Arabidopsis thaliana: one gene and its partners. The protein of the gene in region 2 interacts with the protein of the main gene of each other region in a pairwise test. Each region holds a gene or a part of one and is shown on either strand. Other genes may lie near its edges. The genes, in order: CRF5, AHP4, CRF8 and CRF4.

Region 1 (8,086 bases), on a different chromosome or scaffold from region 2:
TGAATCGTTAAACCGGTGAGCGTACCATTGGTAAATAACTCCGAATAGAGCCACGTGGCAGTAATGGGCTCGAAACAGAGTCCACCTGGCCTAAACATCTAATCTGTAGGCCCATGCCACTTTGGATGTATCAAACTCAATATGATTATCAGTTATAAATTAATCGACTAATCTAATAACTGAAATTTGAATATTTCAATGAATGTAGGAAGAAGAGAAAAAAGAGGGAACACGTCAGCAACAAAAACGGCGCGCGTGAGTCTCGGGCCTAAAACGAAATCCCTTCCTCACGTCTCAGCCTTCTTCCATTAACGAGAGAGAAGAGACAACGCAACACAAAAAAACATTCTCTTCTCTCTCTCTCTCTTCCAAAAACTCAAAATCTCTTAGAAACCAAGTTTGCCTGCAATCATCATCATCATAGCATCTCTCTCTCCATTTTGAAGATTTCGTTTTGATCTTCCTTGATACGATTTATCAGGAGATCGTCAGAGAGGTGAATAATTAAGAGAAAAAAGATGGCAGATTATCAGATGAACCCGGTTCTTCAAAAGCCACCAGGTTACAGAGATCCAAACATGTCCTCTCCTCCTCCTCCTCCACCTCCCATTCAACAACAACCTATGAGAAAAGCCGTCCCTATGCCTACTTCTTACCGACCAAAGAAAAAACGTAGAAGCTGTTGTCGTTTCTGTTGCTGTTGCATCTGCATTACTCTTGTTCTCTTCATCTTCCTCCTCTTGGTCGGAACAGCTGTTTTCTACCTCTGGTTCGATCCTAAGCTTCCCACTTTCAGCCTCGCTTCCTTCCGTCTCGACGGCTTCAAACTCGCCGACGATCCCGACGGCGCGTCTCTCTCCGCCACCGCCGTTGCCCGCGTTGAGATGAAGAATCCGAACTCGAAACTCGTTTTTTACTACGGAAACACTGCCGTTGATTTGAGCGTTGGTTCGGGAAACGATGAGACCGGGATGGGAGAGACGACGATGAATGGATTCCGACAAGGTCCCAAAAACTCGACGAGCGTGAAAGTGGAGACGACGGTGAAGAATCAGCTCGTGGAGAGAGGATTGGCTAAGAGACTCGCTGCGAAATTTCAGAGCAAAGATTTGGTCATTAACGTTGTTGCCAAGACTAAAGTTGGATTAGGTGTCGGCGGTATTAAGATCGGAATGCTCGCCGTTAATTTGAGATGCGGTGGCGTTAGCTTGAACAAGCTTGATACTGATTCACCTAAATGCATTCTCAATACACTCAAATGGTACAAAATTATCAGTAATTAGGATTTTGGTTTTTGATGTTAATTACATCCAAAATTTCTAAACTTTTATATGAGATTATTAATTATTACGTTGCAGGGTAACTATACAGTAACAAGACGGAAGGATTCGAGGATTTGGAAAAACACGATGATCTAACATCTGTATACTTGTAACTTTACTGTAGATATGTTATCTTCTTTCTTTTGTAATTTTATTTTTTCGTGTTTTATACTCCACACATGTTATTAATTTTATTTTTGGGGTATTTGATCAAATTCACTGAGGGGGGCATATTTAGCGAGTGTTTGTTTTATTATTATTTTGTGTGAGATAGATTATTTTGTGTGTAATATTTTATGTGGGTTATTATTTGGGCAGTAAACATAATGTAATGTGGTGATTTTTATGTTAAGAATATTTTCGACATGTTTGTGTAATGGTGGTGGGAAAATATTGTTCAGGTGGCGTATGAATCTTTAGACACTAATGGGCCCGTAAAGTATATGGGCTGAAATGTTTCGTAAACAAAAATATAGATATCGAAATGGTGTGCCATTTTTGGGGGCCTAAATTGGTAAAATGTCAAGTGGAAATGTGGAATTCGAAAAAAATGGCTTGTTTTTCAGAATTAGGATAAGAAGTCCAAAAATAACAAAATTCCATTATATCAGTTAATCTGTTTTTCCTCATGTGTATCACTACAGAGAGATAGCTGTATCTGTCATTCAATGTGATTTGTAAAAATGATAGATAATATTTTAGATGTACAGTCTAGTTGAGAATGTACTATTTTTGGTATTATCTATCGTACGACTGCAGGTTTCTGCAAAATTCTCGCTATACAGAAACGATTAGGATAAAAATGGATGTCTAGATCAAATGTCGGAGAAGAGAGTCGATCACTGTTTTTATCTTGTTTATTTATATGATGCATGAACTGCTTCAAATGTGAAGTAAATTGTTCACGATGTTTATTCCCTTCAACTAAATGCAATAATAAAACAGAGAGAAAAACATGTAGACGATAATACAAAGACCATCTCGTTTCCTACCTACACCAACTCATACCTCGTAGTATAACCAAAAAGCAAATAATAATTAGGTTACAACAAATAAATCTCATGCCTCAACGTCCAACGCATATCGTGGCAATTTCTTTTGTTATCGCTTTGTCTTCAAGGTTGTTCATGTGGCCCTAATAAGATAAGTCCAATTTCTCTTTTGTTTCATATCTTTTGTTTCTTTCTATTAATAGATTAATGCATGTTAATGCACGCCACATACTATATAAATTAATTTTTGATTATAGTATTCCTTATTTATTTCCCGCTACGAATCTCTTAATTATTTGAATTGATTATCTTCCGAAACTGCTTCGAAAGACTTGGTATATATTATGACCCCAGATTCTTTTACAACAACTTACCAAAGAAAATGAATCCACCTAGATCCCCATAAAAATATACACAATAACCTGACCTGGTCAGAAATTCAGTAACAAATAAAGAGAAATTGAGTCTATATTATTTTTTTGTCTTTCTAGTTTATGACTTTTATTATATCAGATGATCCAATACCACTATAAATTTGTGGTAAATATTTTTTATTTCTCATGATAAAGTGCCAAAACAAAAGATATTGAGAAAAATTATCCAAAATTTGTTTTTTTTTTCCTTTTTAGTGTCCAGTTTCAAAGCTGATTAATATTAGTATAAGGAAACAAAATATATAATGTCTGCAATCACTTGATCTCCAAGCAAACAGATCATAATTTCCCAAAATAAAAACATTCTTAATTCAAATCAAGAGGAGATAAATAATAACAATCAATGATCTTTCACAAAAACTTTAAAAACATTCCGATTACATCATTACCATAAAATTCATAATTATCATAGTGGGTCAAAAGGAGTGAGTGACAGTACTGTGACCAGTCTCACGTGAGAGAAGGCCCGCCCATTTCTTCTCATTAGCGCGCATGACCTTCACGAACACATATAGGCGCGTGTCATGGTACAACAATAGTCAAAGTTACTTGTAAACCAAGCTATAGAGTGAACCAAAACCGAAGCTCTTGAATACCGAAATAATCCACGTGTCAAAAATCGGAGAAGCGGCTAGTCGTTTGAAGCGCCCACTAATCTCTCTCTTAATTGCCTTACTTAAATTTTCATTAACAGAAAACATAATTATGATACGGCTAAATCTCGGAAATTCCATAACGATAATTTCGAAAATCAAGAAGGAAAGTAAGAAAAAGCCAAAAACACAAAAGGAAATAATAATATTTTTGAAAAATGGGAAAAAGGAATAAATGAGGGGGGGGCGTGACTATATTTAACAAAGGGATTGTTACTAAGAAACGGCGTTTTCTTCTTCCTTCATAGATAGCCTTTTTGACTCTTCTTTCTCTCTTCTACTTTTTTTCAGGCTCTCTCTCTATATCTCTATCTTCTTCTCCGGTTAACTAAAAGAGAAATGAAAAGCCGAGTGAGAAAATCCAAGTACACGGTTCACCGGAAAATCACATCCACACCGTTCGACGGTTTCCCGAAGATTGTCAAAATCATAGTCACTGACCCATGCGCTACTGATTCTTCCAGCGATGAGGAAAACGACAACAAATCTGTTGCTCCGAGGGTGAAACGTTATGTGGATGAGATCAGGTTCTGTGACGAAGATGACGAACCTAAACCGGCGAGGAAAGCGAAGAAAAAGTCCCCGGCGGCTGCGGCGGAGAACGGTGGAGATTTGGTAAAGTCTGTGGTGAAGTATAGAGGAGTGAGACAACGACCTTGGGGAAAATTTGCGGCGGAGATTCGTGATCCTTCGAGTCGTACTAGACTCTGGCTTGGGACTTTTGCGACGGCGGAGGAAGCTGCTATAGGTTACGATAGAGCCGCGATTCGAATCAAAGGTCATAACGCTCAGACGAATTTTCTCACTCCTCCTCCTAGTCCGACGACTGAGGTGTTACCGGAAACTCCGGTGATTGACCTTGAAACTGTCTCTGGTTGTGATTCGGCGAGGGAATCGCAAATCAGTCTGTGTTCTCCGACTTCTGTTCTCCGGTTTAGTCACAACGACGAAACAGAGTACAGAACAGAGCCAACGGAAGAACAAAATCCGTTTTTCTTGCCTGATTTGTTTCGCTCCGGAGATTATTTTTGGGATTCCGAAATTACCCCTGACCCTTTGTTTCTCGACGAATTCCACCAGTCCTTGTTACCAAACATCAACAACAACAACACAGTGTGTGATAAGGATACGAATCTGTCTGATAGTTTTCCGTTGGGAGTGATCGGAGATTTCAGCTCATGGGATGTTGATGAGTTTTTCCAAGATCATTTGTTGGATAAGTAATTTGATGAGTTCTTCCCCAGAATTTTTCTGGGTTTCTCTTTTTGGTTGTGTGAGTGAGATGAGTGGTTTGATGACAACGACGGGGATGAATCTTAGCCGTCCGTTTTCCATTTCGTGGACGGCTCCGATCAGCGGAAGAAGCGCAACGGAGTTTTTATTTATCTGTTTGAGAATTTTATAATTTAATTTGCGAGTAAATATAGTAATTAGTGTTAAGATTGTGAGAGTTTAAGTTAATTAGGGAGGGGTTTTGAATATTGGGGATTTTGGGAGGTTTTTGTTTGGTTTCTCTCCAAGTCTGTCACTATGCAAGGAAGCAGTATAAAGACCGTATATATATTTTATTATTAATATTGATAAAAGTATTTATTTAGTGCAAATCTTTGTCTTTTGTTTCCTTCGCATGAATCTCTCTATCAAGTGGGGTTTATGTGACTTGTCATTTTTATTGTACATAAAAACATCTAATCACATTCTTCTCCCCCTAAACATGTAAATCGTTTTAATAAGCCAAAAAAGCAGGGAAAATATCGTAAGATCCTAACTATATGGATTAAGACCAAATCAACTATCTAATTTTAAAATATACATATAGTCAAAAGACGAATTATTTACATCTAAAGAGTATCTTGTTGTGTTTTTCTTCTTCTTCTCTTTTGGCACTAAGTGTCAGAGCAACAATGCCCATTAATGTGAAGAACCAACTCATTGAATCATCTATTACCCTACACATTGTCTCCACTTTAACAACCTTCTCAATTTCAAAGACATTCAATTACTACACCTCTTTTTTTTTTCCTTCTTGTGTTCAAAATTTGGTCCATGTCTACGCAAAACAGTTCATTTGATTCAATACAAACAGCAAAACGAAACTATACAAAGTTAGGTTTACATCTTTTTTTAAGGAGAAATACTGTAGTGTACATGGTTGTGGATGTGAATTATGTATTGAGTTGATATATATTCAATGGGAGACAACATGAGAAGAACAAAAAAAAAACAATGAAAGAGTGAGGAGAAGAGAAAGACAATGTATTGGGACATGAACTTAGATGTCTTTCTGTCAAAGACCACCACAGGCTCTGCTTTGGCAAATTGGAGATTTAAAGGAAAGAGTTTTCCAATGAAGAAGAAGACTTCTCATGATCTTGTCGTTGACCTTAGTCCCCCCCATTATAAACATTTTTAATTATTTACTTTCTAATCTGTCAATCTTTCGATTATGACGTTACCTAATACTATTACACAAAAACGTCTTATGGAATTGTCATTTATTTATTCACATGGGTTTCAATCTGTCACTCTCTGTCTACTTTTGGAAATGTTTTAAATTTGATTGTAGACTTTTCTTACTCTTCTACTAACTACGTTTGTTTTCTTCAAAATCTTTACTTTCTTTATGCAATTGTGAAGTGAATGAAGTAAAAATGACCATCAAAATAAATAAATACGTAAGAGAATAAATTGTAGTAGAAGAGAAAGAAGTCTGAAGTCTGTGATGTTTTAGAAATAAAAAAAAAGGACCATTCACCAAAAACAGCAATAACAACAGTATTGGTCCGTTCGAGGTTTAATTTGACCAATTGAGTAGATTTGTCTCTTTCGTGTTTTTAAAATTGGACCAGACCGTTTTTGGCTTCCCGAAGTGTGTGACTACTCTGCCCTGAAACCCTCTTTCTCGTTCAGAAGCAGAGCGCTCCCCATTCCTCTATCAGAAATTTTAACAACAATACAAACTGAAACCTTTGATTTTCGTGGTTGAATGGTCAAAACACACCCAATAAAAAAAAGGTTGTGATTTTTAGTATAATGCATTTTTCCTAAGATGATGGTTGCACCAAAAAGAGAGAGGCAATTCTGTTATCCTCCTGCATGTTAGATCATTTATCCGAACAAACCATAAAAATGAAAATATTTTGAAAAAATTAAAGTTTGTTTGTTTTCAAAAAACATATTAATCCCATGCTCATGAGTGTGACAAAAATGGACCACTAGCCGCATAGAATCACAATGAAGATTTAACAAAGCAAAAACAAGATATTGATATTCTAAGATCTACTTGATTAAGACATGCAAATGCATTAAAATTAAAAAGAAGAATCGACCTTTTAATGCAGTCATCTAATGCGTGTGGTAGGAAATGCTCTGTAAACAAAGTTTTTAAATGAAGTCGAACAAAATTTTTAGAAATTGTAAAACATATCAACCAATAGTTTTTGGCAGTAAAATTTAAAAGACTTTTAATTTGTAATATCTCAGTAGATGACTGGAAACAAAAAAAAGTGGGTCTAAGCCCATGTAGCAAACCACGTTGCAAAAGGAAATGTCTTTATCAGACAGAGGTTGGCCCAAATCAAATTGAGAGGTGAGACAAGTTGCCTCTGTACCAATGAGATTGTTATGGGTCCCATAAGATCTTTAAGTGAACCCTTCTTAAAACGCTTTTACACTTTGTGTATCAATTCGATATGACCCGGTTTAACTCCGGTTATCTTGCAAATACAAAGCTGGTTAAGTAATGGTAACGAACTACATCAATTTTGGTAAATAAAGGTTTGTCATCCATGCTTTGGCAGTGTTGTCAATTTAGGCAACAAGGCAAAGAACAAAGAATAAAAGCAAAAGTTTTGTTTCCCCCAACTTGTTCACATATAACATTATGTCTCTATGTGGAAGAATGCTTTTAAAAAAATTCAAACATAATTGTTACAAATAGTTATTGTTTGTCAATATAATGACTCATATAAATTCAAACATACCCAGCATGAAAAATGGGAAATTTTATCAATATATATTAGCTATTCTTGTTGTTGTCATCAATGATGAATGGCTGGTCTTTAGTATGCCAAATCCCATTATGTGTTTTCCCTAATAACATTAACAATAATAGTGTTAGGTGGTAGTACCCTGGTTGGTGAAATGCTAATGGTGAAACTGGGTCAATATAAAGATAACACTTATTACTACTGATCTCGCCAGCTTGGTGGTTCTCATTCTTGTCTTCACAAACATATAAGACCCTCCTCACACGTTGATGAACTGATTCTTTTCCAATTATAAAAATCGTAATCTTTGGTCACAAAATATTAAATTTGGTCTTCAAGCCTTAAAAACGGCAGAGATTACATCAGTCAAGTAAAAACAGCGACGCTTTTATTGATCAAACTCATTCTAGCAAAAGGTGTTACAGGCCCATATGAGGCCCATAATGTGAAAACAAGGCTTAGTCAAAAACGGCAGGGAGTGTGGTCAAAAGTTTTGAAACGGCAAAGAGTGTTAGTATGTGTTTTGTCTTTGGTTGATGATTTATGAACGGCAACGAATCACCTTCCGAAGATTTTTCTTCCTTTCTTTTTTGGATTCTCCTCCATGCAAAATTGGAAAGCCCTAAGACGAACACCAACCATACGCCATCGTGCGACGTGAAAATTGGAGAATCTGATTGGCTGAAGGATTATTGA
Region 2 (8,245 bases):
AGGAAAATTCTTTACCTTGATAAATGTAGAGAAGTTATCGATAAGGAAAGATCCGTATGCATCAACAGTGTAAACTTTGTAAAGCAGAGGATTCACATAGTAGTTTTGAACAAAATCACTGCTTCCTGCACTTAAGAGACAGATTGCTCCCTTTATGATCGAATCAGCTTTTTTGCTTCCTGCAATTTTTATTAGCTTGCTCTTGTATTCCTTGAAATACTCTACTTGCTGATACAACGGGATCGCGTGCTGCCAAAAAAAGAACTAAGATCAGAACCAAAACAAAAAAAAGAAACAGATCAAAGAAGAAATGTATCAGAACAAAGAACCGTCACTACTTACATTGAGAAGAGCAGCTTTGTCATCATAACCTGAAGCTGCAGAAGCGAAATTAGCACCAATGAGAAGATTCTTACCAGAAGCTTCAGGACTTAGATAAGCTGGTGGGTACTTAGTGAAGCCTAAAGTCTCAGCTGTAACAAAAACAAACACAAAGACTTCAGTGTCAAACAAACTTAAAAATATAACTTGAGTAACAAGTAAAACCTTTTACCAGTTATATCAGTGGCTAATTTGCCGTTGCAGAAACGACCGGTGGCTTTGTGGTTAGCGAAATCACGGCCATAAGGAGGATAATCAGCTCTGAAAAGGGTCGGAAGATAGTTGTTGTTGCCGACATCAACTACAGAGTCACCGAATGTCATGATTGCTGGAACAAGTTGAGCAAAGGAGATTTGGAGAATGGACAAGGTAGAGACCAATGTGAGAAGCAAAAACGACGACGTGCAACGATCCATGTTTTTGCTTTGGTATGTGACTATGTGTGAATGGTGAAGATTATATGTACTTTTGAGTTTTATATATACACATAGATAAAGAGGTTAGGAGTTTAGTTTACTTCAATGTTGTGTCAACTCTGAAACTCTATCTCTCTCTCTCTCTCTCTCTCTCTTATTCAATATTTCTCCAACCATTTTTGATTCGTGGAAAAAACTGAACCAGCCTGTGTTTTGCATAATTTGATATTATAGGTAAACTTTATTAAATAAATTTACCTTTCAATGGCGCACATGGATGCTATAAATAGGATCTGGTCTGTGTTTTTAAAGTAAGGAAGATGGAGGTTGTGAGATATAGCTAGGGCTAATAAATGAGAGTGGTTTCACGTCGCTTTGGATAATAATTAAACAATTAATTCTTTCATATGTAATATATATAAGAGATTAAAGAACATCTTATAGAGTATGTAAATATCTCCCTAATATTAGGCTGTTTTCTTTCGGAAGAGAAATTTATTGTTGTGATACTCTCCAGCTCTACGAATCAGCGTTACACTGCCTGTATGAGTGTATGTAGTGTAGACTTTACGTGGAAGAACTTGAAATAAATTTTAGTAAATGCTGGGCCATTGAAAGAAAACGTTTTACTTTATCCACAAACAAACATTTGATTTATTTATTTGCATTGGTGAGTTAGTTTTTTCATGAAATAGAAGGTCTATGTGATATTCTTAAACGACATCGTTTGAAAAATAGGGCATGTAAGAGAAATTAGATGGAAAAGTGTAATATTAATTGTTTATGATAATGTTATTATTTTAGACTTTTAGCTAAGAATAGTTTGCATCTAAGCCATGGCATTCTTTTTTTTTTAATAATTAGTTTTAGTAGAGACAAATAGTAACATAATGATAATGTTATTTTAGACTTTTACCTAAGAATATTTTGGTTTTTTTTTTCTTTTTTAAATATTTATTAATCAGTACTAGTAGAGACAAATATTAACATAATGATATAAAAATAGGTAAGAATATTTAGGATTTGGACACGGTTCCTGGAAACAAACCGAATAATGTAAAGCTTAGTTTCTTTTTTTTTTCCTTTTGTAAACAAGGTAATGCATTCATCATAGAATCGAAAAAATGCATTTTTTTGGTCCACTCTTTTCTGTATTCCGTTATTAGAGGAAGCCATATGTTACGAGGTAATCGTAGCTATAAAACTCCCAAGGGAAAATTTGGCGATATAAGGGGAAAAACATAGAGACATTTGGACCGTTTATTAACGGACATAATATAAAAGTCCAAAACCTTCTTTATAACGTACATCGAAATATATAAAAATAAAGAGGAACTATTTATTATATAGTTTTGCTACAAAATTCGACGACGATTCCTCATTTATCTCTGTCTCTCTCTCTTTCTCTCTTACTTGGGCCTACGTGCTGTCTCCTTAGGCCCCGCCTGCCTTGCCAACTGTTCATTACAAAAAATTTCACTTCAGCAAATACTATATCAAAAGTGATTGATGATAACTTCTAATCACATTCTAATTATGTAAATTATTAAGCATAATTGATTATTGGCTCGCCTGGAAATAATGTTCAAGCTTCTTTCTCAACGTTGAGTGTTCTTTCTTCAGTTGCTGGAAAGTCCTCAAGCATCTGCAAGTAAGAAAAAGCGAAGAAAACTAATTAGGGGGTCGAAAATGAAGTAAAGTAAAAGTTCAAGGTTCAGCGGATTAATTGCAGCAATTTTAGCCATCTAAACTATACTTATTTTCATTTTGACCCCGTTACTTAGTTTTCTGTTAAAAACGAGAAGCATGAAGGTATATAAGTATAAAGACGAAAGTACCCTTCCGCATTTCCAGCTCTGCAGTATTCCCTAAACGTAGTGCATTCAGCTTTCACTTTACTTGCCCCAATGCTACAAAAAAAAGAAATGCAACATTTGTCAGTATAACTAACGATCATAAAATCTAATTATTTCTGGTTAAAGTAGATTCTGTCATTGAATCCTGAATGAGAATGGAAGTAATTTTAATGTACTTTTGCGTTACATTCTTTTATCTTATAAACATTTAAGTATTCGCATTTCTTTAAGTAAAATTATTTCTTGAAGGCGTAATTAGAATAGTCAAAAACTAAGGGGGGAAATTACCTCGTGCTGCTTCCCTTAAACTGATGCATGTAACTATCCAGCCGATTGAAATCAAATGATCCTCTTTCCCTGCATTGTAAAAATGATTAGAAAACTGAAAAAAAAAAAATATATATATAATAGAAAACAAAATAATACTCACAAAGCTTGGTCAATGTTATTGATTAACCGAGCTGAATCTTTGAAGTATAATGCGGAAACTTCTTCAACAAAATTAGGGTTTGCATCATCTTGGAGCTCTTCTAACTCCATGAATTGTTCGTCGAGATATCCCTGCATGCATTTTCCTATATTAGTCATTTTCTAAATTATATGAAGAAATTCATATATAAGTGGTACGACGTACGAAGTTATATTACGAAAATACGAAGAAACAAACGACCAAAACCTGATCAAAGAGGGACTGCTTGATGAGTGCCACTTGCCTCTGCATGTTTGTTTAAATTTTGAGAATAGATTTAACTATAAGTGCGAAAAATCAAAGTGATAATTCGTTTTTATCTTAGGTAATTCGAGTGGCAATGCAATACTGAAACGTTGGACATCTGAGATATATATAGTGAAATATAGAATAAATAAATAGATCGTATTACATCAAAAAAGAGAAAGTAGAAAAGAGAAGAGAATATTTGTAAAATGATGGGAACCTGCAACGTAAGGGCATGAATGCTGTATTCTACTCCAGACATAAAAAGAAAACGTGTATTCGTTATTATCAGCTTATTTCGATGACACATAGATGTATACTCAGTATAATTTTCTATAACTTCTCTATAAAATATATGTATAACACAAATGGTAGGTGTTATCAAATGATCATATATGTGTGTTGATATATAAGTTTGAATGTATAGTAATCTTTTATATATATAAGATAGTGTTTATGTTAAAGTTTTGAATAAGAGATTTCAATTAGAGAATTCCTCAATGTTGATTGTTTAATTAATAGTATGGTCCATTATGAAACTTAAACTACTGTGGATGATTGATCTATTGCCCAAAAATATAACTGAAATGCATCTTAATTAATAAGTAATCAAAGGATCTCACGAATGGGAATACGACTAATATTATATATATACGTACATCATAGAAACATGTAAAATTTCGAATATAGAACCTAAAAGCTAAACGTTGATACTATACGAAACACACCTTTGGAAATGAGGCAAATATATACTAGTAAAATGTATGTGGACACGAATTTTCCTGAAAGTGAAAAAGAAAGTTATAGATTGAAAAAGTATACAGTTCAAGAAAAATATTCTGAACAGACCATTTCCGTCTTGATTAATTACTGAATTTAATTCATGTTTTCACAAAGTTTTCTATAATATCATTGTCTTTTCTTTTTTCTTTTTTTTTTTGTTATTTTTAAGGTTGTGATTTCCTGATTTTAATGGTACCAATTACGTACACCCACAACATTCAACTATATATGTACATATGAATTTACGAAATGGGCAAAAAAAAGTTGTACTTTTGGAAGAAAAAATTGTTGGAATCTAGCACACTAGCAAACACTATTATTGCTTATCTTTTGTTTCAACAACAGAAAGCAATACTAATTCGAAGTATTTTAGTTTGGGGTCCGGAATTCAATTACTAAGTAAGGATTATATCTTGTGATAAACATTAAACGACATTTTTATATTAAAAACATAGTCAAGGTTAGTATCATGATCAAGACCAGAAATAAATAGATTTCTATTGGGGTTTTCTGTTTGATGTGTTTTCTTTCTCTTTGACCGCTGCAACAAACATTGAAAAATTAGATGCAAATCTTTTCCAAGTTTCTTCCATTAATGTGTGGAGGTGAGAGGGTGTTGTGTGCCAAGGAAAGGCTAGTACTTGTGCGGATGCGTGTGTTTCCTACTTCTATATTGTAACAAAAAAAGAAAGAAGTAGGAAACCAAAAAGAGAGAGAGAGAGAATAAGGTATACATATATCCAACGAGTAAAAAATAAACCATAAATTTCTGTTATTGGAAACAAGGAACAAGTATCTAAAAAGGAAAAACTGAAGAGCACATAACAAGTGTGATCTAAATGATTGACACAAAGACATAAAAGATCTTTTTATCATTACAGCATAATTTGTTCCTTTCTATATCTCTTTCTCTCTCAGACAAGCATCGTGAGATCGAATTACAGAAGAGAGAGAGATTGATCATATACAAAAAAAAATCAGCTTTATTTATTCCTCCGCCCACCAAACCAATCTCACATAAAGGACTTGTCTACTACATATTTTCGGTGGAAGTGGGTTTAGAATCTAAGTTTTATTATTGCTTGCTGTCTCATCTCGATTATTCTCCTTAATTCCGACCTCCCCTCTAATAACAAATATGTAATACCACAAAATTAGAAGAAACAAAACAATTCATTCCAAAACTTGTGAGGTTGGTTTTACATGATAAACCCCAATTTTGTATTTAAATCAAATGTTATTATGTTTACCTTTTAGTATTATACAAGATAAAATTCTAATAAAAGAGGACAAAATTCATGACATTTATCTAAATTTTGTTGTATATGTGTTACACAATCCAATTATTCCTTTATATATATATGTGATCTTAATTTTATAAAAGAAAATTATTTTTTGTTCTTATGATCTTTTGTATATTTCTAAGCTTTAAGGCTATATATAGTCTTAACTCTTAATTATTATGAACTCGTAACTATCATCTCTGCCTCTGGTACAAATGACTAATTAATTCGAAGGGAGAAAATATGTAGAGATTTAGTTTTCATATATTATTAGGAAATTGCTAGACTATAGGCTAGTTTGTAATATAACTTATATTCATATTCAAGACAAAATCAGTCTTGTAATACTTTAGAAGGCTAGCTTGTTCCACTATTAATTCCTATGATTGGAAGATTAATACATGTTTAGAGAAAGTTTATTTTTAAATGATAGATATTCTTCGGAAAGTTATCTTGAGATTTTTTGTTGGATATACATGATGCCAGAATTTGTGCTACTAAAGTTATTAGAAGTAGCTATTAGCACCTAATTGAACTAAGTATTTCGTATAAAGGGCACAATGTTGACTGGTTCGTGATTGAAGATGACTCCTTAAAAGTTCAAATGTCGACACACAAACAGATTTTTAATTCTTTTAATTGTGTTGATTACTCAATTAAAAACATTCTTCTCAACTATTAATATAAATTCAATAATATCCAATTATTTGAAAGATGTAACTTCAATCATCTATCACCCGTTAAATAAAGTATATGCTAAACAAATTTATTTTTATCCTCTATCACTTTCGTGAATAATTACACCTCCGCGATATTATGAACATGATTCCTCCCAATCCGAAAAAGCTATAATCCTAAACAAATTGTTAAATAACAAATAAATCGGCCGATAACGACTAATCATAATCATAAAAGTAAAATAAAAATATAGACCCGAGTTTTACATTAAATCATAGGGAACCGTCTTCCGACATATCATGTTAATATACAATTTCATTTACTCATCCCAACTAGAAAATACTATCAAGTTTTGAGTAGTTGTCGTGGTTGAGAGTTGAAACAGAACAATAGCAATAATTCTTTTGAGTATAAATGTGATTGGTACAAACATAATGGTCATTGTGAAGAATTTTGAATTCGTGTTTGTTAGTTGTTACAGATGAGGCTGCACAACCATGGAAAACAAATTCCACTACTATTTGACAAACAAAACTGGTGACAAGAGACCATCATAAAGACGTTTGACCATTTTATTAAAGGGTTTGAAACATATTAAAAGATTAAGTGATGAATCCTTTTAGGAATACCATTTTGGCATTGTTCTTATAACTCATTGGGAAACTTTATATCATTTGAGTGTGGTTAGAACTCTAAGCTATCATAGCTGGCTTACTTAGATTACGTTAGTGAGTATTCAAGATAGATTAGACCCTTATCATCCCTAAAGACTACGTACGTCCATGCCTTTACCTTTACAGATAGAGATAAAATGTCCATAGAACTCCATATACTCCCGATTATAATCATCGTTTAGTCTCCAATAACATCTTATCCTCCATTCTTTCACACAATTCTTAGGAATTAGCTTAGTTGAACACAATTTAGACTAGTACCATGCATACCAGCATTTATAAAGGCTCTCAATTCATTGTAAACATAGGTTTTCTAGTGAATTAGATATCTCTTTCTTGTGAGACCGTTCTTTAATTAGCCATCGTCTTTAATTTAACCATGCATTTGTGGTCACATAAAATTTTTCAATTTAGGAAACTAGAATAGAACTTCTCTCTCATTAGGAAATGTAATCCAAACTCATTATCCTATTTATATCACCGTTCAAAACCAAAATAAAAAATGGTAGAATATTAAAATATATGTCATCTAACTAACTTCAACTAGTTTTCTCAATTGTTAAAGAACTAAACACATTTTTTCCGGGCAAAATTTGCTTTGAACATATTTCTATGTATCAAAAAGTATTTCTTTTAAATGTATCAACCGCACTAGTCCATGTGCGGCCATGCATAAAAGATTGTAATTCGATAGCGTTAGGGATATAATTCACCACCGCAAACGCTTCTAACGACATAAATAGAGACACAACTGCGATTGATATGTTGGATCCATCCAAAACGTAAGATCATTACAAGAATAATCCTGATATAAAAGCCGTACTAGTCATTCGAGAAACGAAAGAGACGGTAGATTGAAGCACAAGAAAGGAACATAAATAAAAGAGATGAAAGATAGTGTGAATACACATTTGGAGAAATGTTGACACATTTTTACTATTTTAGCATTAGAGAGTGGCTCATTTGGAATACTTTAGGAACTTATGGTGCCAGAAATTGCAATCATTTACAAAATTCGACTTTAGGGTCCCTATTCATTTTCTTGGAAATGATTCCCAACGCAGCATTGATTCTCTCTCGTCTCCTGATTTGATTTGTGCTGCCATTGCTGAAAGCAGCTTCACAACAAAGAACAAATACTCTCTCTTTTTCTCTTTCTTTTCTGCTTATATCCATTTTAATGTTCTTGTCGAACATTTAACAGTAAAAATGGTCGAACGGTAGCAACAAGTTTATGTTTTGTAACATTCTTTATTGTTTAGTCTCTAGATAATAAATAATTTGCCTTAAACATGAAAAATGAAGGGTAAAATTGTAAGTTACGCTTATCTTATGTAAGTATGACGTGATGCTGAGAAATGTGTTTTTGACTGTTTGGTAAGTCTTTGTTACAGTTTGCTCTGTTTTTTTTTCCTTTGTAAGTAATTGTTCTCTCTAATGGCTTATGGCTTGGTTTGTT
Region 3 (7,851 bases), on a different chromosome or scaffold from region 2:
GAACTGAATAGGTAACCAAATACATTTCTTGCACCAAAGACTATTGCACCCACCATTATTGATTCTACACCTGTTATAACCATCGCTGTGTAAACCGCCATTCGAGCTTGTTTCGGGTTTCCAGCTCCTAACTCGTTTGCAACTCTTGTACTGCAACAACAACAACAACAGAGAGGCGGTTTCAGGTTTTAGATAGATAGCTTTGCAAAATCGAAAGTTGAGTGAGAAAGAACCTTGCTGCTGCACCGAGACTCTCTGGGATTTGGTACAAGGAGGATTGTGTTGAAAGACTGTTAAACAAGAATGAAAGCAACTGATTGGTATGATAATATTCCATTCTAAAACCAAGTCTATAGAAGATAAAAGAAAAATGGAAACAAACCAGACTGAGAGAACAGAGGCTTCTAGCTTCGGATTTGGTAAAATACCAGAGAGCAGGACTAAAAATTCGAATGACCACCACTCAAGGCTAATCCAACAACACCAAAGAGATTCATGTCAACAACTCTATGACTAAAACCAAAAGAGGCATGAAGAGAAGTTTGATATACCAAATCATAGATGCAGATGGGATTCCAAACCGGAAAAACTCTCCCATTCCTTCAAACAAACTCATGGAGATAGTTGCACGGCTCTTGCTACAGCTAGAAGAAAACGTCATGTATAATCCAAGAACAGTCACGTTTAGCCAGTAAGAAACACCGATCGCAATAGCTGCACCGAGGCTTCCAAGACCAAACTTAAAGACCAAGCTCCAACAGAGGACAATGTGGATACAGAGAGAAGAGACTGAACTCATAACCAAAGGCAAAATCAGAGACTGTGCTTGGAAAAACCGAACAAGCGGCTGCAAAGTAGCGTAACCAAAGAGCGCGGGTATGAGCCAAGTTGCAAACTTCCCAGCTTCTTGAGCAACCATAGCATCTTGTCCAATAAGAGAAAGTATATCACCAATGTATGTCCAGAGAAGAGAGAGAGGAATACACACAAGAAACAAAGAGACAATTCCTGTGTAAGTATGAACACCAAGCTTCTCATATTGCTTAGCTCCATTAGCTTGACCACATAAAGTTTCCAACGCACTAGCCAATCCAAACTGTGTGATTACCACAACCACAATTTAGAATCTTAAGCTAATAAAAATGAAAAAGAGAAAGATCAAGAAAGAGACATACAACGACGCTGAAACCGGTGACGCTGCAGAAAGAAACAGCAATGGCGGTGCTAGAGAGGAAAAGCTCACCGAGATGACCAACCATCATTATAGATATCACCTGAAGAACATACATAGACGAGTTCACTGCAATCATCGGACCGGCGATGTAACTAAGTTTCTTCGTTTCCCGCAAAAACCCATCTTTCTTGTTTACTTCTTCTCTGTCGCTCACAACAAGCAAGCCCTTCTCCGCCGAATCCATTCTCTCTTCTTCTTCCCCTGAGATTTGTTGTTTCAATCTAATACTTTAACCTCTTTCTCCGAATCAACCCTATACTTTATATACTAATATTATATGATATCTTCTGTGGAATTTATAGCGGCGTGTCGTATATTGATTCTACACCTCGAGATACAGATACATGCGTCGTCCTCTCTTATTCAGCCGCCATAAATTCTCTCTCGATCTAAATAATGGCACTTGATTATAGCAAATTAAGAAAAGTCTTTGTTAAAAAAAAAAAACTTTACATGCAAATCACCAAAGTACTATACAATAATGCGTTGAAATATTATAATCTTAACTTGTTTAATTAGTCAAGCGGTCTGTTAAAAATTTAATTAATTACAATGTTGATTCATTGATTCATTTTGAATATAAGTATGTTACTTCCTCATAAAGGTATCAAAACGAATCAAAAACAAAATTTTCTCTGTTTTGTTTTTTTATTCATTTTGATATCAAAAATCTTCCTCTTTAAGGTATCAAAAGATTTGTTCAAAAAAGAAAAATCTTCTTGTTTATCATGTGAAGTTTGTGAACCAATCAAAATTTATCTTCAGATCCTTTTTTTTTTCAATTTCATAATCGTAAGTCAAAAGAAAATATCTGTTTGCTTTTTTTCTAACGCACTTGTGTTTCCTCAAACTTATTATTTTTAAACTCATGTGCACGTACATGTAAACATTCATTTCCTCTCTTTTTCTTTTTTTTCTTGTCAAAACATTCATTTCCTCTTTAGTCACTACTATTATCGAAAACATTCATTTCCTCTTTAGTCATTACTATTATAGTATTATAGAAGATCATATATATCATGTGTATGATGAAGTCTCTTGGTTTAGCTGATCTCTTCATGTTCTTTATTACTTTCTTTATCTCCAAACCCCTCACCCATGGCCATCAGTCTTCAACAAGTCAAAGTAAATTGATAAATTCAGTATTTTTCATTAGACACCCCAAAGTATAAAAATGTATCGTTGATACGGTGATACAAGAACCAAAAGATGGAAAGATATATAAAGAATTTTCAACTTTTCATCAACCATCAAAATATAACTCTGATCCAAGTCATTAACGTTCAATTTGGTTAGAGTTCTGTTCTATTATGTGTTGATCCATAAATGGTAAAAAGATTGAATAGTATACAAATAAAAAGAGCCTATTTCAACCCAAACTTTTCTTTCCTAAACGTTTTAAAAATTCAAAAAAATTTGTACCTTAAAATTTGTGTGTAAATCAAAATATAGTTCATTTCTCGAGTTTCATATATATACATAGACGAAAGACATCAAGATCATACACAACATCAGAAGATGAATTTACAAAATACGAGAGAGACCTTCTTGCTAATGCTAACAACTAAATTACCAACCCCACTTCACGCGCCTCTAGCAACCTCAGAAGCTCCAATCACCGTCTTATCCTCTTGATTCTCCGCCGGCAAACCAAAATTGGTCGGCGCGTGAGGTCCAATCAGCTTAATTGAAGCGTTATCATAAGCTAGAGCAGCTTCCTCAGCAGTGTTAAAAGTACCCAGCCAGAGACGATCACGTCGTCCTTTACAAGCTCCTCTTCCACATCTGATCTCCGCCACCCACTTCCCCCACGGCCTCTGCCTCACTCCACGATATTTCTTCTCCGTTTTCGCCGTCTTGAGAAATTCCGCCGGGATCCTGATTTTGAACCGTGTTTTGCAGACATCGAGTTTATCGGCGGAATCGGAAGGATCGATTACGATCTCTTTAACGAGGCGTTTCCCACGGCGCCGAGTCTGGGATGCTCCTCCACGCTCCTCCGTGTCTTCGTCGCTAGAAGAATCGGTGGCTTCTGCGTCGGTGAATGAGATTCTGATAATACGCTTCATAGTGAATTTGCGGAAATTAGGGTTCCGTCTTCGTCTCCATTAAAAGGAAAGCATTTGAGAGAAAGAATATGTTTTTATTCTTTCAGAATCTCTTTTTCTGATGCTTTTCATCTTTACTTATTTACTTCTCTATTTTTTTCTAACCAATCCTATGTGGGCCGTATGGGCCTCAGAGCTGAAAATGCAGTAAAATCCATGAAATTTCTCAACATGGCTTGAAGCCCATCTTCTAAAGGAAAAAACGCTTTACTCTTTTTTCCTTCATCTATGTAATAAGAAGCAGAAATTTAGGAATAAGTTTGAAACTTTAATCACACATAAGAGTAAGTGCAAAAACATGAACAATGTTCTTGCCTTCCGTGTCAATTTTGTATATATATATATATATATATATATATATATATATGTGTGTCAGTATATAATCTCCTTTTATATGATTATAAACTCATTTGTCCCATGTCTTCTTCTTCTTCAATGGACTTACTCATGTGTCTGCTTCTTCTAATCTCTCCGGTTGTTCTGGCCAAGTCTTCTTCCACCGTCCCTGCTATCTTTACCTTCGGTGACTCTATTTTTGACGCCGGAAACAACCATTACAACAAAAACTGTACCGCTCAGGCTGATTTTCCTCCTTATGGTTCTTCCTTTTTCCACCGTCCTACTGGGAGGTTCACCAACGGAAGAACCGTCGCTGACTTCATCTGTAACAAATTACCTCCCAACTCGTTAACTAAAACATTTCTTCTTCTGCAAGGAACCTTACTTTTGTCTCTTTTTTCTTTTCTTGACGCAATAATTGCAGCGGAATTTGTAGGCCTTCCATTACAGAAACCATTCTTGGAATTGCAGATTCAAATCTTGAATGGAACTTCAAACTTTTCAAATGGCATTAACTTTGCTAGTGCTGGTAGTGGTCTCTTGCTTGATACCAACAAATTTATGGTAAATATCTACCTTGACCAAATAAAATGTTTGTTTCTTGTGAATCACTCATTAAGTACACATATCAAATGTAGGGCGTGACACCGATCCAAACCCAGCTACAGCAATTCCAGACACTTGTAGAGCAAAACCTTATCGAAAAATCTATAATCCAAGAGTCTCTCTTCTTATTAGAAACTGGTTCTAACGACATCTTCAACTACTTCCTCCCATTCCGAGCTCCTACACTTTCTCCAGACGCTTATGTGAACGCAATGTTAGACCAAGTGAACAAAACGATTGATCAGATCTACAAACTAGGCGCACGCCGCATCGCTTTCTTCTCCTTAGGTCCTGTAGGTTGTGTCCCTGCAAGAGCCATGCTTCCTAATGCCCCAACCAATAAATGCTTTGGTAAGATGAATGTTATGGCCAAGATGTATAATAAAAGACTTGAAGATATAGTGAACATAATCCCCACTAAGTACCCTGGAGCCATTGCGGTGTTTGGAGCTGTATATGGTATCACTCACAGATTTCAAACCTACCCTGCCCGTTACGGTAAACTCAATATAGTTAATTAACTTCCATCTTTGAGATCTTTTTCAAATGTGTCTATGAGAAAGCTGAATCATGTTTTTGGTGAAGGGTTTTCGGATGTTTCAAACGCGTGTTGTGGGAACGGTACACTGGGAGGATTGATGCAGTGTGGAAGAGAAGGATACAAGATTTGCAATAACCCAAATGAGTTTCTGTTTTGGGATTTTTATCATCCCACAGAACACACTTACCGTCTCATGTCAAAAGCTTTATGGAATGGAAACAAAAACCATATCAGACCATTTAATCTCATGGCTCTTGCCACCAACAAGATCACATTTTAATACTTATATCTCCCTTGTATATAGAATTCATAATGAGTTTGTATCTGAATTAAGACTCGAAATCATTGTGAAAACAAAAGCCAGAAAGTGAAACTTCGCTCCACTTCTGGTCTCTTCTTCCTCTTCTACTGTAACATGAACGCTACAAAATGTTTTTATTGTTCTCTTTCATATCATTATGAAATACAATATCTGATTCTATCTAACTATACCTCTATACTATACGCATTCTACAGAAAGCTTAGGTTCGTCATCTGAGTGATGAGTATCCAAGCCGTTACCAAAGCTATCATCTTTTCTTTGAGGGTGTGGATCCGCAAACACTTCCTCCCTTTGGGGGCGGTTCGCATAGAATATCCATAGCACCAGACATAGTAAGACTCCTACGGAGATCAGTCCGAGTCCTGCGTTCACAATCCTCAGATTACGTACTAACGGTGGACAGTAATCTGAGGTAATACTCATAAATGTTTCCCTAACAAAGTTGCAATCTCGGAAGCTAAGCAATGGAGGCGTGTAATGCTCTAGAGCGTAGCTCTCATTCACAGCTGCTACCAACTGTCCAAAGGTATCTGGCGTTACTCTCCCCACGGTGGTGCAGATTCCAGATGGTGTAACCTCGCATTTGTAATTCTCCCAGACCTGAAAAGAGAAGTTTAGTAAGACATGTCTCAGACCTGGTGGTGTTTTGTTCAAGATATACAAAGATAGGTGAGTAGGAAAGTACCGATGATGCATTTTCTATTGATAGTTCCCAAGGCGAGCACTGGCGATCTTCCATGTTTGCATCAAATGGGATGCATAAAGGAGGCATCGGAGGTCCAGACTGGTTGTAATAGCGGTCTTGACCTGGAGCTGGGTTTGTATTGGCAACAGCATAGACAAAGGTGTTTACAACGGTCACGATGCTGTTGATAACAACTTTACTCTGTGAAAGAGTCTGGTTTGTTGTTTGCTGATCAACGCATGGGAGAATGCTGCTGAGAGCTGTTTCTGCGTGAGGATTATCAACCCATTCCTTCATTGCTACACACGTATCAGAAATTGCACTGGACACCAAAACAATGACATTTAGTTGACTACATTTGCGAGTCTACTTAATAAGGCAAGAGAAAACAAACATTCAGAACAGCAAAATCTTACTTGTTTAGGATCAGAAAGACTCCACAAAGAACAAATGTCACAGCCACAAGTATCCACCCACTCACGACGAATCTATCATTATATACATCCCCATCAGTCAGCTTTCAATTTATTTTAAACCACTATAAATTAACGAAAATGAAGAAGTTGGGGATTAAAAGGCTCACATATGAACAACATGTTGGTGGCGGAGGACAGAAAGCACTGTAATAACGCAAATAACAGATAAAAAGTTGAAGTCAAGTGGATGTCACAGCTAATAAAAAGGAGATACCAAAGAAGCATATACACATCAACTGGACTTACATAGACCTACAAAAGAAAGGATGAGCATCACAGTAGCGACCGTGATCAAAGCTGATCGCCTGAAAATGTACATATACAGAGTTATATCAACACTGTCTTCCCTGTTAATCATAAATTGGTACCACTCAGCTAACAGTACAGGGCAACTTACACAGCATAGAAAACTCTCTTAATTTTAGCAGCGTTATCTGTTGTTGTCTCTCCCAGTGTTACAGCTGCAGTGTTAAGATTGACATTTAACTTGTCAATTTCACCCATTACATCAGACGGAATGACAATCTGTGTCACGTTAATCGTTTTCGCAAGGGACAGATATTGAGTCACATTCTGGAGGATCTCCACAGTGTAGTCTGACTGGTTTACAACATACTTAAGAGTATGCATAGCTTCGGTATGAAACTTATCTTGTCCAACAGATAAAAGAATGCATCCCACCCTGAAAAAAAAAAACCAGTGCAATCTCAGGAACAACAAATTTCAAATGACAGAGAACCAAAAAACAATGTAGAAGAGTTGAGGAATATTACGCTGCAACACATGTAAACACAATCAACAAAATGAAACAGATTCTTCGTGTATCGAATGATGATCCTTTAGCTTTATCACATATTCTCCATTTGAAGCAATGATAAACAACAAGAAGAGAGCCAAAAGACAAGAGCCAGATAACAGCTAGTATGAAACCAGGAGCACCTGTAAATCCAACAGACTGCAAATAGATGTTCATTACTAACAGATCCTGTAACTAATAAAATCGGAGATGACAAAGAAGAGGAGAGGGACTTACAGCCCAATAGTGATTATTGGTGATGTTCCAGCCACCATGGTAAGGCTTAAAAGCTCTAAGAATGTCAGGTCTCTTGGTTCTATGAGCTGCTAAGAGGAGGTAATCAGAGACAACATCATCAGATTCAGGTCCTGGTGCTAATGAGATTCCACCTTTCCATGTTCCAAAATTCGGTGAACCTGATTTTGTAGCAAAACCAAAATTACATAATCAGAATTCAAACTTCATAACAATTCTATAAGCTTGCTTAATACTACCAGGAAGCAAACTAATCTCGAATTTAGCAGATCGTTAACAGAAGAAGCATTTAGATATTGGTAATTCTGGAACCAAGACTATGCTACAAATCCCAGAAACTTCAAAAAAGCGTCGTTTGGGATGAAAAACATAGAACCGCGATTCACGTTTATAAACGAAACAGCATAAATCAAACGCGAAAATCGCATCAGCGTGCAACAAAACAAAGAGAGGAGAAACCTAATATGAGTCTGAGAGGATCCTGTGAAG
Region 4 (8,063 bases), on a different chromosome or scaffold from region 2:
TGGGACAAAGGAATTATCACTTTGAAGTTTGACCAATTTAAGATTTACAAAAAATAGTAAAACTATTAAAATCACCTTTTCCCCAAATAATATACTCAAACGGGTTTAGCCATTAGTGCTACTAAACATTATGGTATAAAGACCTTGAAAAAACGGTTACTTTTTTATGGTATAACCCAACTATTATGACACTTTTGTGTTCAAGGTTCTGTTTCAGTGATGGAGTATAGTATATTTTAACATAATGTTTATCCCACGAATTAGATTCCTCTTCGATGGACACATGTTGTTGTTAAGGTTGGGAGCTTATGAGGTTGGCGAGGTTTAAAGCAGTAATCAGGGCTTATTATGTTGAGATTAAGGTTATGATTTTATAATTTCACGTTAGTTTGTTGACGATTTATAAAAAAAAAATGTTATGAATGCATATTTTGCTTAATGAAAGTGCTAGTGGACGCTTGATCAATTCATGTTAATCTTTAAAACTCTTTATCTTAAGATTCAAATCAAAGTTTATTTTCTTTCTCGAAACTCCAACACTTGTATTTCTATATATTTTGAGTTTTGGGTTTACCGAGGCTTCCAAGTCCATTCGAATAAGTTTTTAAATGTGTGTTTTCACTACTCGAGCACTACTACTGATAAAACTTGTAAATAAATTATACTATTAGAACCGAATGGTATACTTTTCCTTCTAAAGCATTTAAACTACCACTAGTCACTAGATGCACATGTAAACTCAGCATCATATATGGTCTTAGTGTGGGTTAGCAGTTGCATTGAATAATCTTGTCTTTTACTTCATAATAGTTCTATGTTAAATCTGTAATTGTAATAGATATGTATGCATGGTATATAGTATCATGAATAGAAATTGTTTATATAGTAAAACCTAACAGCATAACACTACATTACTGTGTTCTACACTTCTACATAAACCAATTATATTCGTATATGAATACTCATACGTACGAAATTTAATGATCTCTAAACATATTAGAAAGAACGAAAGCAGTAAAACTTTCTGTTTCCAACCAGCTAAAGCCGTTAAAACTAGAGTTATAAGTTATCTTACCATTTGTCTTTCAACTAGTTTCGACCTTTTACATGATTCAACAGATTTTCTAAAAACTATCTCACAAATTTGAGTAGTACTATTACACAAAAAGAAAAGATTCACGTCTAATCCCACTAAGAATATATCAATTACATTAACCCACCAACGGCAATGTTTCATGTACTAAAAATACGAAAATTATTGTAAGAAATCAGAATATCAGCTTTCCAGAATTAAAGGCAGACTAACACCCGTTGCAACCCAAATTAAAACCATTGTTTTTGTTAAAGTGCAACCCAAATAACCATTACACGATCTATTCGAGCATGGACCGTTCTCTATTACAGAATATAGTACTTTCTAAGAGTCACCATAAATTTTCTAATTTTTATGTCTAACGACCGAAGGGTTTACTTACTAAATATCCCTTCAATACCCCCGAAAACTTATACAATGTCACTCTGTCAGTGACTGGACTACTTTTAATCTATGTTCAAAGTCTCCATAACTTAAAAAAAAAAAGTTTATTAATTATGATAAAGAGAGAGGTCGTGCCCAAGAGAGCATGGTTAACGCCAGGTTTTTATTAAATATTTAAATTAGAACTGAAGAAAATAACTTAGTTACAGCCTGATCTTAGAGATCCCCTGTTTTGTCTTTAGTAAATTAGAGAATCGTAACCTTTGGTGGCCTCCACTAAATGGCATTAATGACCAGTCACTAATGTTAATATTGCCGTGAATCAAATCTCTTAAACAAAACCTTTTGCGTTGAATAAAACTTAAAATTACAGTGGACACTTCAGCGGTCTCAAGAGTCAAGACAAGTGGAGGTAAGAAGAGGAGTCACGATTCATGTGCCATGAGTCATGGTACTAAAAGGTTTCGGTGAAATTTTCACCGTGAAAATCAAACTCTCCGAACCAGACAATTTGTCTTGCACCAGATCCTAAACAAATTGGTTTAACTTTTAGTTTCCTTTTGGTTCATTTAACATGTTATTCCTATCAACGCTAGTAAGGTAGAGCTTAGCTCAAATGATCGATTGGGTTGGGCACTTATTTCTACAGAGTAATTTTAAAGAATATTAATGAATAAATGTTTTTACGATAATTGTTAAAAGTTTGAATTGTACATAAAAAAGTTATTTATATATGAATAAAAATAATTATAATGGAACTTCGATAAATTATTTTTAAATAGTTACATTTAGATTTCAATTTAGTGTATTTTCAATAACCAATAATAATTTAGGCTATTTTAAAAGCTATAGTTTTACTTTTACCTATACATTTACATATATATTCCTATAATGTACTACATATATTTATTATAAAATTTTGATGAATTTAATGTTCGCGAACAAATTCCAAGTATCTATGTAAGCTATTTTTATTTTTATTAGATATATGACCAACATTTCTTGCTTGTAAACTAAGGCTGTCCACGAGAATGACTTGAGTAGTACTCACGAGTCGCGCGACCATGTAGCTTCTGCTCCAAGACATACATTACCTTGGGAAAACTCGAAACTCACACGTTAATTTATATTATCATAAACTTGGTTATGAGAAGTAATTACTCAAGCGGTGACCTTCTCTAGTCTTTATTTGTCCATCAAAGTTCGAGCTCATTTTTAATTTAAAGCTATGCACCAAGACCAACGTACATCACATTATTATATAAGTAACTAATGGTGATAAAGCTTTCAACGTTTTGCTATTTTGAGGGGTGGCCCTTCTTTTAAGAATGGATCTTTGTCCTTAAATTTATTTTTTACCAACAAGTCTCGTTTCTTTCTTCTATTTGGATTCTTCGTTCATAACCGTAGATGGACACGTTATATATGCACACATGACACATTGTATTAGCTTTCAACAAAATCTGTAACGCAATCTTCTTTTTATTGTCACATGTCACCGATTAATGGTGAATGGCAACAAAAAGATGTTAATATCAAAAAGTTATAAATATTGGGTTGGGTATTGTTACTTCAACCCAGTCGTTATTAAAAGTCATTGGTGAGAAGTTGTTATCGCTCCAAAAAAGAAAGTGGTCAACCCAAGTCTAAAACAAGATTCACAGTTTGTCTAAATTTCAATGTAGTCACTTAATTGTCGTTTTTAGTAACACACATGTACGTATTATAATATGGTTCGTATAGTAATAGACGCATATATAAAATATACGTGGATTGGTCACTTGGCTCAATGTAGGACAGTGGCCAAGAACACTGCACTAAACCTCGGGGTTTGTCTTTTGTCAATCCAAAGGATTCTCCATGTCTCTCTCTTCTTCCCACTTTGGATATTCAGAATCAAATCGTCCTTGGCTTCTCTCACACGACCTTTCTTAACCGATCTTCCTCTCTCTCTGCTTCTAGTTAGCACTATTCTGATGCTCGTCCGACTAACCTGACAAAAAAAAATCTCGTGTTTTTTTTTTTGGTTTCATAATGACTTGTAATTTTCAACTGATTTTTTCAACCCTAAACTAAATCAGAACTCGGTTAGAGATGAATTTTTGTAAGTTCAAGTTTTTGAATTTTCATATTTTCAAAAATGAAAGCTCTGAAACGAAAAAAAAAAAAAATTAGCGCCAAATCCTAGGTTGCCCGCCACGTTACTTATCTCACTGGAAATGAGAGGATTTTACTGAATAATTTGTAACAGTTTTTCCTTAAAATAGAATCATATAATAACAGAAACAAATATATTTTCTTACTGGAAAATAAAGATTGATTCCCTTTTTACATTGGTCGGAATTTACTCATTTGGAACATAAATATAGCATTTACTCAAATAGTATATTTACTGTTGAATAAGCACTTTAGGAAAACACATCACGTGACAGGTTGTTCATAAGAAATGAATGCATGGGACGAAACAGCTAAACGAATTCGCTACAGATGTCGGTCAAACCTGGGTGAAGTCATCATATTTTTTTAAAAAATATTTTAATCTTCAATAATATAAAAAACATATTTGTCTGTAACTAAAACATTTTCAAAAACAAAAACAAAATAGTAGATATCTTTTCAAAAAATGAAAGCAGTTAAAATAAAACTGGGACCGGGTATCTTGGGGTCACGTGATATGCATCGTAGATTTCGAGATTAGAAGCCACGCGCTGCTGACTCAGCAGAAAGATAGTCATCTCAAAGAAGAAAAATATCTCATTTGTACAGGTGTCATCATGCGATTTGCTTATATGAATGCGGCGTCCCGTTTAGTAATTCACTCCTCTCTGTATCAAAATTTGTGGCTAATATATCACTGCGAATTGACGAATTGAGAATGTTTAAAAACCAAAAAAAAAAAAAAAAGTAGATAACTTAACAATTTTTAAAATATATAGTTTCTACTTATCGTTATCAATAATGACTACCAAAATATCATGTAAATTTTTACTTTTTATATGTTTCACAAATAATATAGTTTTTACAAAGACTTTTTTGTTGTTTTACATTTTTTATTGTCACTTTAAAATGTGTTAGGCGGTGTAAAAATGTAAAACTGATACAGTATATTTATGTGACACGGTAAAAGAGGATATTTCAAAAGTGAAAAAATGGAAATAAGTAAATAAAAGCAAAGAATATAAAAATATTTTATTCTATTTATTACTTTATATATACCAAATATGGCTAAAGCCCGAAAGATCCTATAAAGTAGGATTTAACAGTGACTTCTGAATCTTCTCACTTTAAACTTAACAGTCTCTCTTTCTCTTTCATTTTATATACCCTTTTCCTCTCTTTCTCCAAATCTCTGAAAATTTTCACCAGAATCTCTGTTCTTTTTTTCACCAGAATCTCTCTGTTTAAAATAATAGGTGATGATGATGGATGAGTTTATGGATCTTAGACCAGTGAAGTACACAGAGCACAAGACTGTTATCAGAAAGTACACTAAAAAGTCGTCTATGGAGAGGAAGACCAGTGTTCGTGACTCGGCCAGGTTGGTTCGGGTCTCAATGACGGATCGTGACGCCACTGATTCATCAAGCGACGAGGAAGAGTTTCTGTTCCCTCGAAGACGTGTCAAGAGATTGATTAACGAGATCAGAGTCGAGCCTAGCAGCTCTTCCACCGGCGACGTCTCTGCTTCTCCGACGAAGGACCGGAAAAGAATCAACGTTGATTCTACGGTTCAAAAGCCCTCTGTTTCCGGCCAAAACCAGAAGAAGTACCGCGGCGTGAGACAGCGACCATGGGGAAAATGGGCGGCGGAGATTCGTGATCCTGAGCAACGCCGGAGAATCTGGCTCGGTACTTTTGCAACGGCGGAGGAAGCTGCCATCGTCTACGACAACGCAGCAATCAAACTTCGTGGCCCTGATGCTCTTACCAACTTCACCGTACAACCAGAACCAGAACCGGTACAAGAACAAGAACAAGAACCGGAGAGCAACATGTCGGTTTCGATATCAGAATCAATGGACGATTCTCAACATCTATCATCTCCGACATCGGTTCTCAACTACCAAACATATGTCTCGGAGGAACCAATCGATAGTCTTATCAAACCGGTTAAACAAGAGTTTCTTGAACCAGAACAAGAGCCAATAAGCTGGCATCTTGGAGAAGGTAATACTAATACTAATGATGATTCATTTCCATTGGACATTACATTTCTCGACAACTATTTCAATGAATCATTACCAGACATCTCCATCTTCGATCAACCTATGTCTCCTATTCAACCAACAGAGAATGATTTCTTCAACGACCTTATGTTATTCGATAGCAACGCAGAAGAATACTACTCCTCCGAGATCAAAGAGATTGGTTCATCGTTCAACGATCTTGATGATTCTTTGATATCCGATCTCTTACTTGTGTGATATTTTTGCCATTAACCAAACACCGGTTTGGTTGCAAAATCGCCGGTGTGGTCAAATTTTGTATGGAGTTGTGATAAGATTTTGTTTTTTCTTCTTTTTCTTTTTTTTTGGGTGTTTTGTGATTTTGTTAAGAAGTAATTTAATGTTATCGTCGGCTTGTAAAACAGTTTTGGAGAAATATTGGGAAAAGAATAAACTAATTAATTTATTAGAATTGTTGTTGTTGTTTGTTCTTGTCAATTTCTTTGAGTTGCACGAACGTGTTTAAGTTTTTTGTAAACGAGTTTTGATTATAAAAAGCGAAACTAAAATTCTCTTTGGCGAGAGAGACCACACGAGGAGGCGCAAATCACGGTAGTGACCGGTGGAGCAAGTGGCTTTTGGGTCAGTCGGTGCACTTTTTGCCTTTCTCTATTAAACAAAAGTGGGTTTTGTGTTCTGACTCTGGCGGTAAATAATACTACTAATTTGGAATTTGGAAACTATCCTTTTCAGATATGAAATTTCTAAGAATTAAACTTTGACTAAAATATATTGTTACTAGATTTGATTTTTCTTAAAATTAATGTTGACACTGATTCTCAATCAATTACAATTTGAATAATTCGTCACTTTCTGGTTTTCCTTATAACTTTTTTTCTTATAGACAAAAAAGGGTAATATTTCCTTAAGTGAATGTAGAATAATGTTCAAATGCAATGAACTCCCAACTAGAATAGCTTCCATTTATAGATACGAAATATTTGCCCGTAACTTCAAAATTTCGGTTTCATTCAACAATTGAATTTTGTTTAAATCTTAAAAGATAGTGTTCTGAACTTCAATATTTTCATAACTGCTAAAATATTTTCCCGCGTTCTTGAAGATTAATTTTCGATGAAAGTGTATATATAAATAATAAGTACAGGGCTGGATCAATTTAGAGATAGTATCAAAATATTTAAATAGGAGAAAGGTTTACGGTAAATAAATTATTCATGTGCTTAAGATATTAAATCCAATAGATTTTTTTTTTAATGTACATTCCTAACAACCAAATCATAACAAATGCCTCCCACCAAAAAAAAAAAGCATAACCAATGCCGAACATCAGAAGGGAGAAGCAAAAGGTAGAAATAATTATGTCCCAACTCATATGAGAGAATTATAATACAACTTACTAGGTAAGGAGTTGAATGAGTACGAAATGTTGCACTAGTGTAAGAAATAAGCGCCTCTCCACATGTTGACTTGTACCATTATAATTACGATGTTTTGAATTCATACACACATATTTGTTGGTGACCACATTTGTGGTTTGTTTATGTTTTTCTTTTTTACCAAATAGTTAATATATACACAAACAAACAGAAAGCTTAACGTTTTCATTGGTCGTCTGGATTTCGTCTTCTACCGTCTATTTGCCCGATTGGTTTCATTGAAATCATATTGGAGTCAAATCCATATATATATATATATTTGGTTTTAAATATATGATTTATGTGTACACACAATAAGAAATTGTTAAAATAGACATCTACAAGTCCCTTTCTTCTGGAGAAAATGTGGACTAAAAGACTTCTTCAAGGTTATGATTAATGAAACCATAGTCATTTTGAAAATTATTGAGTACTGAAGTATATATAGAAAAAGAATTTTACCTTTCGTAGACATGTATGCAAGAGGACTCTATAATAACTTTTCTTTGTAAACTATAACAGATAATTACATTGGAGGTGTTTCTCAATTCTGAGAAAGTAATATTCATTTACAAAGTGGCATAAAAAGGTTTGAAATACTAAAGCTTAGTGTTTTGTTTGGTTATACAAACTTTAGATGCAAGATTACATATTTTTTCCTTGCTCTTATCCAACATAGTAATTGTTGTCAGATGACAATATAAAAAAAAATCAAATTCAGAAATGTCTTCACTATGGTAGTGCGTAAATATTTATCGAATCCTCAGTGGTTTGCAGCATTGTAGGTCGCTGCCAAAATTTTAAAATTAGAACATCATTATTAATTAGTTAAAATGTTGTTACTGTTTGAGATGTGTTACTATTTTTTTTCCTACTTCTTTTTGTCTCAACTATGTTCTAACTCTTTAATCATGTTCTAGTTTTATGCATCAAAGGTATTAGAAGTCTCCTATTTTAACGTTGACAAAACCTTTTCTTTATTAA

The links.
Region 1: the proteins of AHP4 (region 2) and CRF5 interact in a protein complementation assay, tested with the Arabidopsis thaliana proteins (one study listed by BioGRID).
Region 3: the proteins of AHP4 (region 2) and CRF8 interact in a protein complementation assay, tested with the Arabidopsis thaliana proteins (one study listed by BioGRID).
Region 4: the proteins of AHP4 (region 2) and CRF4 interact in a protein complementation assay, tested with the Arabidopsis thaliana proteins (one study listed by BioGRID).

What each region holds. Positions count from the first base shown.
Region 1 is NC_003071.7:19,007,874-19,015,959, forward strand, and holds CRF5 (cytokinin response factor 5), read left to right. Parts: upstream 1-3,588; 5' UTR 3,589-3,740; coding exon 3,741-4,625; 3' UTR 4,626-5,145; downstream 5,146-8,086. Other genes in the region: AT2G46300 (Late embryogenesis abundant (LEA) hydroxyproline-rich glycoprotein family), read left to right, coding at 519-1,261, 1,359-1,374; AT2G46308 (uncharacterized protein), read right to left, coding at 3,294-3,482.
Region 2 is NC_003074.8:5,549,480-5,557,724, reverse strand, and holds AHP4 (HPT phosphotransmitter 4), read right to left. Parts: upstream 3,529-8,245; 5' UTR 3,375-3,528; coding exon 3,330-3,374; intron 3,252-3,329; exon of another isoform or gene 3,242-3,251; coding exon of another isoform or gene 3,215-3,241; coding exon 3,084-3,214; intron 3,011-3,083; coding exon 2,942-3,010; intron 2,708-2,941; coding exon 2,636-2,707; intron 2,443-2,635; coding exon 2,370-2,442; coding exon of another isoform or gene 2,358-2,369; exon of another isoform or gene 2,332-2,357; intron 2,255-2,331; coding exon 2,207-2,254; 3' UTR 1,936-2,206; downstream 1-1,935. Other genes in the region: AT3G16370 (GDSL-like Lipase/Acylhydrolase superfamily protein), read right to left, coding at 16-249, 343-473, 554-797. UniProt on the Arabidopsis thaliana protein: Functions as a two-component phosphorelay mediator between cytokinin sensor histidine kinases and response regulators (B-type ARRs). Plays an important role in propagating cytokinin signal transduction through the multistep His-to-Asp phosphorelay.
Region 3 is NC_003070.9:26,818,329-26,826,179, reverse strand, and holds CRF8 (Integrase-type DNA-binding superfamily protein), read right to left. Parts: upstream 3,664-7,851; 5' UTR 3,304-3,663; coding exon 2,818-3,303; 3' UTR 2,509-2,817; downstream 1-2,508. Other genes in the region: AT1G71140 (MATE efflux family protein), read right to left, coding at 1-150, 234-290, 383-469, 552-1,096, 1,176-1,418; GLIP6 (GDSL-motif lipase/hydrolase 6), read left to right, coding at 3,760-4,006, 4,106-4,245, 4,320-4,785, 4,873-5,108; AT1G71110 (uncharacterized protein), read right to left, coding at 5,328-5,750, 5,836-6,157, 6,252-6,323, 6,419-6,455, 6,558-6,616, 6,709-6,993, 7,085-7,266, 7,345-7,523 and 1 more.
Region 4 is NC_003075.7:13,907,570-13,915,632, reverse strand, and holds CRF4 (cytokinin response factor 4), read left to right. Parts: upstream 1-4,637; 5' UTR 4,638-4,893; coding exon 4,894-5,901; 3' UTR 5,902-6,091; downstream 6,092-8,063.